Linked DNA regions of Danio rerio. The protein of the gene in region 2 purifies or fractionates together with the protein of the main gene of each other region. This does not show direct contact. Links are inferred from orthologs where the notes say so. Each region holds a gene or a part of one and is shown on either strand. Other genes may lie near its edges.

Region 1 (5,387 bases), on a different chromosome or scaffold from region 2:
TTGGCATGGGACGACTCAAGGTATACCATGGTTTGGGAAAGTCAAGGTTTTAAAACCATGAAAATTTTCCGCTATCCCGTTCCTAAGGTATAAATAAGATTTCTTTTTTTTTTTTATTAATTTTTGTTTTGTTTTTAAGGACAGCAGTATCTCCAGCAGAAAATATAATCAAAGATTCTGTTTTAAACTGGAAAAATATTAGTGTTTATAAAAAAACAAAGACTGCAGAAGTGAATGATTCATTAAAATGATTTAGCCTGACATGTTTACTGCTCTAAAATATTTTAAATGTTTCCCAAAATAGAATATATATATTAAAAAAGGAAAAAAAAGTTTAGTTTTTTAACCAGAGATTTAAAAAGTAAATATTTCAGAGCAGTGAGCACAATAACATGATACTGTGAAACCGTGATATTTATGTCCAAGGTTATCATACGGTCAGAAACTAATACCAGCCCATGCCTGATACATATCACCATAAACATGACAGGCAGCGAGTCATATCATAGCATCATGTGCAGCTCTACTGTAGCACTGAGGAAAAATTACTTAAATCAAATAATTGTTGTTAGGAAACTGGCAATGTGACAATTAAAAAAAACACAAGTGGCTCAAGGAACATGTCCATGTGTTGAAGGAAATCCTGCATATCCCAAAAGCGTCAACAACTCATTTTCAGCCAAAAGCAAAGTTCCAGCCTTTTCACAGCACATCACCTGCATTAAAACACCGTAACGCGACACTGTAATCCGTTACTTTCGAGAGAAACTCTCCCCAACACTGTTAATAACAGATACACACACACCATAAACACGCTGAAGACGAGCAGAACACACACTTTAACCCCAGATACTGATGATGGAGGAGTGTCTGCACTGACTCCTGCATTGCTGAAGGTGTTCATTACAGTACACCTGAATCTGAAGCACTGACTCCATCATAAACACACTGTCCAGCTGATCTCACAGCCACATCACACCCTCTACACACTGACAGGGTTATTTCTGAGACTCGGTGTGTGTCCTCAAGCTCTTATTCTCGGCGGAAACTGCGATATAAACACAGTGAGGCGACTGCTGCTGTGCTGCTTTCATTGTCCACCCTCCGACGGGCCAGACGAGGCTAAAACCCACTCAAATCTGCCTTATTGGAGACGAAGCCCAGAGGAGTTTCGGGATAAACTAAGGCGAATGATAACCGGGGGTCTGTGTTTATCTGAGAGGGAAAAATAAAGCGAAAACTGCACCTGTTTGCAGCCAGGCCGATGCCTTCTGCCTCTGTGTGCTCCGCCATAACGGAAATGCCACAAAAGTCCCCATTTCCCGCTCAGCGGTTTTCAAACTTCTGAAACATCGTGACTTTTATTTCCAGTATGAATTATTTAACTTAACTGGTAAAAAATATGCATTTTTCGGTATAGTCCAGTAACTTGGCCAACAGTTTTGGTTACCAGAACGTTCCTATTTAGTTAAAGTTATTTTAGTTATAGTTTTAGTTTAATTAGTCCCAAAAATAACCTAAATTAAAGGGGAAGATTTGTGTTAGCTGGAATGTTAGCACGTTCTCCCTCTCTTTATCCAGTTTTTGATTTATTGATTGTTTTTACGATTTAATTATATTTCGTTTTTAAAAACAATCAAAGACTAAATATTAATAAATGGGGTAGATCTCCTTAAAATAAATCCTGCCATCACTTACTCAACCGTTAACGTTACATGTCCCAAACCGGTTTAATTCCATGTCTCAGTTGAACACAAGTTATTTAAGCGTTGGAAACCAGTAACGTTAACTGTTGACTTCAATAGAATTTATTTTCTTATAATGGATGTCGATGGTTACCGGTGTCGAATGATATTAAGAATGCTTTTAGAAAAATCTTTATAATATATTTCTGTTGTGGACATAAAGGGTTGGAGAGGTTTTAATGAGTTAATTTGTATAGGATAAGAGTCCCCGTGCCGGAAGTGCTCAGACACGTGTGTTTGTGTGTGTTTTCCGCTCCTCCATCATGGACTCCTCAGTGCACACTAGTCTGCTGGAGAGGATAGGAGATGTGGTTCTTCCAGGCGATCTGCTGTTCTCCTTCAGTCCTCCTGAAGCCGGAGACGCGAACCCGAAAGCGGACAGGCTGATCTGCGGCCCGGGGCTGCGGCGGAGCGGAGCGGAGATCCGTGTGTGTAGAGCAGGAGTCCTGAAACACAAACAACCCAACATGTACTGGGTCAACTGTCAGCAGAGACGGGTCAGAACACACACACACACAACATGTGCCAGCACACACTATTGTTCAGAAAATTCACTAACACACACTACAGGGCAGAAAACACACAATAACACACGCTACTAGCCATAACACACAACCTAACACACACTACTAGCCAGAACACACAATACCACACACTACTGGGCAGAAAACACACAATAACACACACTACTAGGCAGAACACACAACCTAACACACACTACTAGCCATAACACACAACCTAACACACACTACTGGACAGAACACACAATAACACACACTACTGGGCAGAAAACACACAATAACACACACTACTAGGCAGAACACACAACCTAACACACACTACTAGCCATAACACACAACCTAACACACACTACTGGACAGAACACACAATAACACACACTACTGGGCAGAAAACACTCAATAACACACAATACTGGGCAGAAAACACTCAATAACACACACTACTGGGCAGAACACACAGTAACACACACTACTGGGCAGAACACACAGTAACACACACTACTGGGCAGAAAACACACAATAACACACGCTACTAGGCAGAACACACAACCTAACACACACTACTGGGCAGAACACACAATAACACACACTACTGGGCAGAAAACACTCAATAACACACACTACTGGGCAGAAAACACACATTACTGGGCAGAAAACACTCAATAACACACACTACTGGGCAGAAAACACACATTACTGGGCAGAAAACACACAATAACACACAATACTGGGCAGAACACACACATTACTGGGCAGAAAACACACGTTAACACAATACTGGGCAGAAAACACACTCTAACACACACTACTGGGCAGAAAACAAACAATAACACACACTACTGGGCAGAAAACACAACCTAGAACACACTACTAGGCAAAACACGCAATCACACACACTACTGGAAAAAAAAAAACACACCACTAGGCAGAAAACCCAACCTAACACACACACTACTAGGCAGAAAACACACAATAACACACACTACTGCCAAATTGGTTGACATCGCCCAACCCTACTAAATAAATATATATATATATGAGTGAGAGAGAGAGAGAGAGAGAGAGAGAGAGAGATAGAGAGCTGTATACTACGTTTGGTCTATATAAATCATTTATTTTAGTCATCTTAAAGGGTCAGTTCACTCAAGAATGAATATTTACTCCCTTTCTCAGCGTATTTTTAAACCTTTACATGTTTCTTTTTTTGTCAAACACAAGAGAAGATACTTTGAAGAATGCAGAAAACCGGTAACCATTGACTTCCATAGTAGGAAAAACAAATGGAAGACAATGGCTCCAGGTTTCCAGCATTTTTCTAAATATCTTATTAGTGTTCTGAACGGGTCTGGAACAAGTAAAGGGTGAATAAATGACAGAGTGTTCATGTTTGGGTGAACTGGCCCTTTTTAACACTGCACAGGTCAGGATGTGTCGTGGTGCTCCTCTATCTGTGCTGAAGGTGTTCCGGACTGACCTCTGCTCTTTCCTGCAGTATGTTCCAGCTAAGGGTGAGAGTGTGATCGGCATCGTGACCGCAAAGTCTGGAGACGTCTTCAAAGTGGACGTTGGAGGAAGTGAGCAGGCGTCTCTGTCCTACCTGGCCTTTGAAGGAGCCACCAAGAGGAACAGACCCAACGTGCAGGTACATGATGACAGAGCCACTCCAGCAGCAACAACTCATGATCAACAGTGAAATGACAGATCGACCCACAGGGAAGCAGCAGCAGTCAGTAATGCAGGATGATCTGCTGTCAGGGCTTCACCGTCAATAACTGTGATTATAATGGAAGTGAATGGAGCAACAACAGACAACATAACCAAGCAGAGTCAGTGTGAACACACACACACACACACACACACACACACACACACACACAGTGTGAACAGTGTGTTGATGAGTTATGAAAACTCTCACAGCATTTCCCCATAATGTGTGTCAGACTCAGATTATTCAGCAGAAATCATCACATTTACTGAAACACAGAGAAAGAGGACAAATGAAGACTCGACATCAACCCAGAGTGGAGGAAAACAACCCAGCAAAGTCGTGTTCGGTGTGTATGAGTCCTCCTAACGCTGCTGTTTGCTCCTCCAGGTTGGAGATCTGGTGTTCGGGCAGTTCACCATCGCCAACAAGGACATGGAGCCGGAGCTGGTGTGTATCGACAGCTGCGGGAGAGCCAACGGGATGGGTGTGTTCGGAGGCGACGGGCTGCTCTTTAAAGTGTCGCTGGGACTCGTGCGCAGGTCTGACCTACAGCTACACACACACACACACACACACACACACACACACACACACACACACACACTCAACAGCACAGGCAGCAGGGAAAATAAGAGTTATAGAAACACACTTGTGAAGCGGACGAGTGTTTAAACACAGTGTCTGGTGTATTAGGACAGGTCAAGCCAGCACACACTACTGATCAGAAAACACACACTAACACACACTACTGATCAGAAAACACACACTACTGATCAGAAAACACACACTACTGATCAGAAAACACACACTAACACACACTACTGATCAGAAAACACACACTAACACACACTACTGATCAGAAAACACACACTAACACACACTACTGATCAGAAAACACACTATAACACACACTACTGATCAGAAAACACACACTAACACACACTACTGATCAGAAAACACACACTACTGATCAGAAAACACACACTACTGATCAGAAAACACACACTAACACACACTACTGATCAGAAAACACACACTAACACACACTACTGATCAGAAAACACACACTAACACACACTACTGATCAGAAAACACACACTAACACACACTACTGATCAGAAAACACACACTAGTGATCAGAAAACGCACACTAACACACACTACTGATCAGAAAACACACACTACTGATCAGAAAACACACACTAACACACACTACTGATCAGAAAACACACACTAACACACACTACTAATCAGAAAACACACACTACTGATCAGAAAATGCACACTAACACACACTACTGATCAGAAAACACACACTACTGATCAGAAAATGCACACTAACACACACTACTGATCAGAAAACACACACTACTGATCAGAAAACGCACACCAACACACAGTACTGATTAGAAA
Region 2 (5,387 bases):
AACAGGATAGTTATGACGCAAAAGTCGACGTGCCCGCGCAGCATTTCTTTTGTAATGAACGCAATGTGCTTAATTTCCAACCCATGATGAATCAAACTAAGACAAGATTGAATATCTTGCTTTAAAGTGATTTATCCCTGAATGGGAGGGCTTTTACTGTCCAAAGCAGAATTTCTGTCTGTGTCTAGCTCTAGACATGCCATCCAATGTACAAAGAATTAGATCAAATACTATTTAATTTATTTTTTGTTTATTTATTTTTTTAATGGAGGAATAGACACCACTATTAAAAAAGGGGAAATTCTGTGTAAACAAAAATGCAATGCTGGGTTATCTGTGCTAAGTTTTGAAACTTCAAACAATGCATCCAAAATAAATTGGTGGATTAAATTCATGAAAGAAAAGGACAGTATGCATGCGGTTTACTTTTCCAGAACACATATTTGACGTAATGGGGGTGTAAAATTTATGTTGAGATTTCTGGTGAAATTAGCTACATTTCACAAACAAGCTTTATTGGCCTGGATGCTGGAATTTAATTTCCCCCCCAAAGCAAGTATATTATTTAGAATAAATTGAAAGTTTATATGAATAGATAAATATGTAAATAAATCTATGAAATCCTGCATAAATAAAACAACAAATAAATAAATACGCAAATAAATAAATAAATAAATTCCTGCAGAAATCAAACAACGAATAAATAAATTCCCAAATAAATAAATTCCTGCAAAAATAAAAAAAATGAATAAATACCCAAATAAAACAAACAAACAAACAAATAAATATATAAATAAATCCCTATATATATAAAAAATGAATAAATAAGTATCCAAACAAATGAATGAATAAATAAATAAATAAATAAATCCCTATGTATATAAAACAATAAATGAATAAATACCGAAATAAATATTTATATAAATAAGTAGATATGTAAATTCCTGCATGAATTAAACAATGAATAAATAAATACTCAGATAAATAAATAAATAAATAAATAAATAAATAAATAAATAAATAAATAAATAAATAAATAAATTCCTTCATAGATAAGACAATGAATAAATAAATAAATAAATCTCAAACAAATAAATAAATATATACACATATTCCTGCAATAATAAATACATAAATGATTAATTGTTTGGGCAGATAAAACAGCTTTCAGTTTAGCATTTACCATTTACTTATTCCCCCTAACATGAATTTAATTATTTATCTGCCCACACTATTAATTCTTTAAATATGTATATAGGCAGGAATTTGTGGATTTATATATAAAATAATAATAAAAATATATATTAATAATATATTTGTGTGTGTGTGTGTGTGTGTGTGTGTGTGTGTGTGTGTGTGTGTGTGTGTGTGTGTGTGTGTGTGTGTGTGTGTGTGTGTGTGTGTGTGTGTGTGTGTGTGTGTGTGTGTATTATTATTATATTTTTGGTGTCGTCCTCTATACCCGCCCCTCATTGATTGATCGTTAGAAACAAAAATGTTGGATTTTTTTTTTCATTAGAATGGTGACCATTGGGAAAAGTAAATACACAACTGTTAAAGAAATAAATAAACATTTGAAAGGGCAGAAAAATAAACTTTCAGTTCAGCGTTTTCTTATTCCCCCAAAATTCGTATTTTATTTAATTAATTACCTGCCCGCCCCACACTAATTGTTGATATATGAATTTGTGAATTTTATACATTTATTTATTTGCATATTTATTTATTTAAAGTTTTATTTCTTTACAGCGCTGCACGGTGGTGCAGTGTAGCACGATCGCCTCACAGCAAGAAGGTCGCTGGTTCGAGCTTCGACTCGTTCAGTTGGCGTTTCTGTGTGGAGTTTGCATGTTCTCCCCGTGTTCACGTGGGTTTCCTCAGCTAAATTGTCCGAAATGTATGAGTGTAAATGAGTGAGTATATGGATGTTTCCCAGTGATGGGTAGCAGCTGGAAGGGCATCCGCTGCGTAAAACATTCTGCTGTGGCGACCCCAGATTAATTAAGAGACTAGGCCAAAAAAAGAAAATTATTTATGCTGGAATTTAGGGATTATTTACTCATTTATTTATATATTTGCGGATTTATTTATTAAATCATTGTTTTTGTTTTGAACTTGGTGTAAAAATAGCTAACTGCGTGTTAAATCCCCTATTTTATGGCACTTAGAAACATAAAAAGCTAGTGTAAGAAAATTAGTGCATTTAACAGAGTGCTTCAGGCGACATTAATTAACATAAAGGCAGGCTACGTTTAATTAGATTTAATTATCAGTTTGTAATTAATAAACTGCACTTTAAAGAAAATATTTTGTGAACAGTGGTATTATACATGTTTGGTCTAATGTGTCGTTGCAGTTTCGCAATTCTTACCAGCAGATGTCGCCAAGCTTATAGTGTTTTGAACGACAGTATATTCAGTGTATTCATTGTGTCCTTCAGGTGGCGATATCAGCTGTCATGGTCGTCCACACACGCTTTGCCAAAGAAGAAAAAGATTTTCTCGTGCGGCTGCACTTTCGCGATTTAATGTTTTCAACATGGCGGCCTCCTCGAGCAGCGCTGCCGTGGCCAAACAGAGCGACCATTCTCCATCAGCAGAGGAAACAGAGGCAGAAACTGAGTTTTGTCCGGGCTTTAAAGACGTCGACACATTTGTCAAGGTTTGTAGTTTGTTTGAATGTGTGTCAGCGCTGTCATTATCTGTGAATACACCGCAGCGTGGAGAGATTGAGAGAGACATGTGTGGACACGGAGTGTTTTTCGATCATTAAATGCACGTATGTTGTCGTGTAATGATTGTAGTTGCTGAAGCAGGTTTGTTTTTGTGTGTGTTCAGCATGGTCTTGGAGCGGTGGTGTCCGCCACCAAAGCCTCTGCTGCTCTTCCATCAGCGGGAGATGAGTTTGATCTGTACCGCAGTTTCTCCTCCTTCCAGCAGTTCTGCGCCTCACAAGGAGACCGACTCTTACACTGGTAAAACACTCAATAAACAAATACCGAAAGACTCATTATAAACACTGAATTGTTTACAAACACTGAAACACCATTTACAAGCACATTGTGGGCAAAATAAACATTGGAACATTACGCACTCGTGATAAACATGCTGCTGCAGGTTGAGGTAAAGTTGCTTTTATATTTGCACATCGCACTTTCTCCGTAATAATATATCTTCAGAAAAGTATTTCTTGTAAATTCTTAATAGGGGAAATCATATTAGTAGCCAAAGAATATTAAAGTACAACATCGTCCACAGTCAATTAAATGTTTCTAATGTTGTTTTGAAGTCATACTTGCATGTGATTTCAGAGCGAATATTGAAAGTACCATGTTAAAACATATAGGGAACGTGTCACAAGTGTTCAAAAATGAATGAATGTGCAAGCATAAAATCAAATTTACCTTGATGCTTTATAACATCTAATAGATGCTTCAAAGAATGTCGTTAACACTATGACACCATAATCAGAGATAGCCAGCAAATAATGCTTTTTGTAAGTGAACATTTGTTTGATTTATTACGATTAAAAAAAAAACATGAACATGCATGCATTGTATAATACCATGTATATCATACTACTAGCCAATTACTAAATATTCAATAAAATAAACCTACTATTTTTTTTCATAATTAACGTTTTTTTATATAAATATTGTAAAATGTATTGTATTTTTAATGTTTACAGATGCCATTAAGATTACTCAAGTAGTTATGATATGTATAAATGATAAGAATTAGTAAAAGATGAACAGAGAAATGCAGTAAGCTAATAATAGTAATAATAATAATAATACAAAGGTGATGATGATGACTATTATTGGTGTTAGAATATTAATTTCCACACTAGTAAAATAAATACTACAGCAATGGTAATATTATTTTACAAGTGATCTTAGGGCCTTTTGTACAAACATCATGTAAACGTGTTTTGACAGTAAATTCTAAACATGCATGCATTAATAGTTACAGTTTTGATAAGAAAATAATTTAATTACATAAAGCTTTTGGTAAAATGTAAAACTGCTATTAAAATATACTAGAATTTTACTGAATGGAAACTACTACTAGTTATAATATTTAATATTATTACTATTAGTATTATATATGAACTTAGGAGTTCTTGGACAGTGGACAATATATAGTTTGAGCGTTGATATTACAATGTGTGTATCCACAATAGATACAGCAGCATCTGAATAAATTATTAAAGATTAAGATATTATTATTAAATATATTTTTGTTTATTATATTTATTAGAATTTTTAAATCATTTTTATAATGATGACGATGTTATTTTATGTTTGATTGTTAAATTTCTATACCTGAATAAGAAAACCTTTAAGCACTATTCACCTTTTCTCTTTGCTCTGCTGTATTTATATATGCTTGTAATTTATTATGATTTATGCAAACGCACTGGACAGAAACAGACTTGATCATCTCAATCTATCTAAATGAATGAAATCTTTCCAAATCTAGCTATTCTATTCATCTGGTAAAATTATATTCATTGATAGTATATATGAATAGTAAATATTGCAAAAAAAAAAAAAAAAAAAAAAAATTCTATATATATTGCAATGTCAGATTTTTCCAATATTGTGCAGCCCTACTACTAGGTATTCTTAAATATATATGCCACAGCATACTGCATAAAGCTTATCATGTCAGTGTCAGTAAAGTTTACTTCACTGGAGACTGACAAAGCAATTTTCTTTTTTTTCTTTTTCTTTTTTTTTTCCTGACAGTATGAGCCAGATAATGCAGCACCATGGCTGTAGATCCCACATGAGAGACCGGAACAAACTGACTGGACTGGAGGACCGCTTTGACCTGGTGGTGGACGCAAATGATGCCATCCTGGAGAAAGTGGTACGAGTCTCTCACTGACACGCACACATCGCTGAAGTTCTGGTTCAGTGCTTCCTGTTGGCATGTCTGTTAATGCTGAGAATGAGAAGGTTTATTCCAGACACTGAAAGTCAGGGAATGCTCATATATTTTTGTTAATCTCCTGGAATATCAGTGATTATTGTGTTATTGCTTTAAATTTTAGTTTCCATTCAGCAAAATGCAACTTTTCTGTACCATATTCACATCTATAGTTACTCTCATCAACTCCCAGTCATTTAACTAAGGCTAACATGTTGGGACAATATACATTGTAAGAGATTTGGTTTCAAATGACAACTTCAAAAACTTTGTCAGAAGTAGACCTCAGGAATTTGTTAGGCTATCATATGTGGGAGAGAGAGCAAATTTGTTTTAATATTTGAATTATACTAAATTATTGATTGTTCTTATAATGCCTGTTAAAACTTAAAATGATATTCAGATTAAAATAATTCTTAAATTATTTTCTTATCTATCCATGTATTTATCTAT

What was found. Proteins that work in one complex are often made in the same cells at the same time.
Region 1: the proteins of exosc10 (region 2) and exosc3 purify together in Homo sapiens (affinity purification with mass spectrometry; 8 studies listed by BioGRID and IntAct, counting the BioPlex papers as one, with this or other methods). This does not show direct contact. The link is inferred for Danio rerio from reciprocal best matches to the Homo sapiens genes EXOSC10 and EXOSC3.

The regions. Positions count from the first base shown.
Region 1 is NC_133189.1:58,544,569-58,549,955, reverse strand, and holds the start of exosc3 (exosome complex component RRP40), read left to right. Parts: upstream 1-1,997; 5' UTR 1,998-2,008; coding exon of another isoform or gene 2,009-2,242; 5' UTR 2,243-2,754; intron 2,755-2,949; 5' UTR 2,950-3,635; coding exon 3,636-3,908; intron 3,909-4,361; coding exon 4,362-4,513; intron 4,514-5,387. Other genes in the region: tcerg1a (transcription elongation regulator 1a), read right to left, coding at 1,247-1,293. UniProt on the Homo sapiens protein: Non-catalytic component of the RNA exosome complex which has 3'->5' exoribonuclease activity and participates in a multitude of cellular RNA processing and degradation events.
Region 2 is NC_133198.1:16,311,224-16,316,610, forward strand, and holds the start of exosc10 (exosome complex component 10), read left to right. Parts: upstream 1-2,476; 5' UTR 2,477-2,538; coding exon 2,539-2,661; intron 2,662-2,837; coding exon 2,838-2,974; intron 2,975-4,750; coding exon 4,751-4,874; intron 4,875-5,387. UniProt on the Homo sapiens protein: Catalytic component of the RNA exosome complex which has 3'->5' exoribonuclease activity and participates in a multitude of cellular RNA processing and degradation events.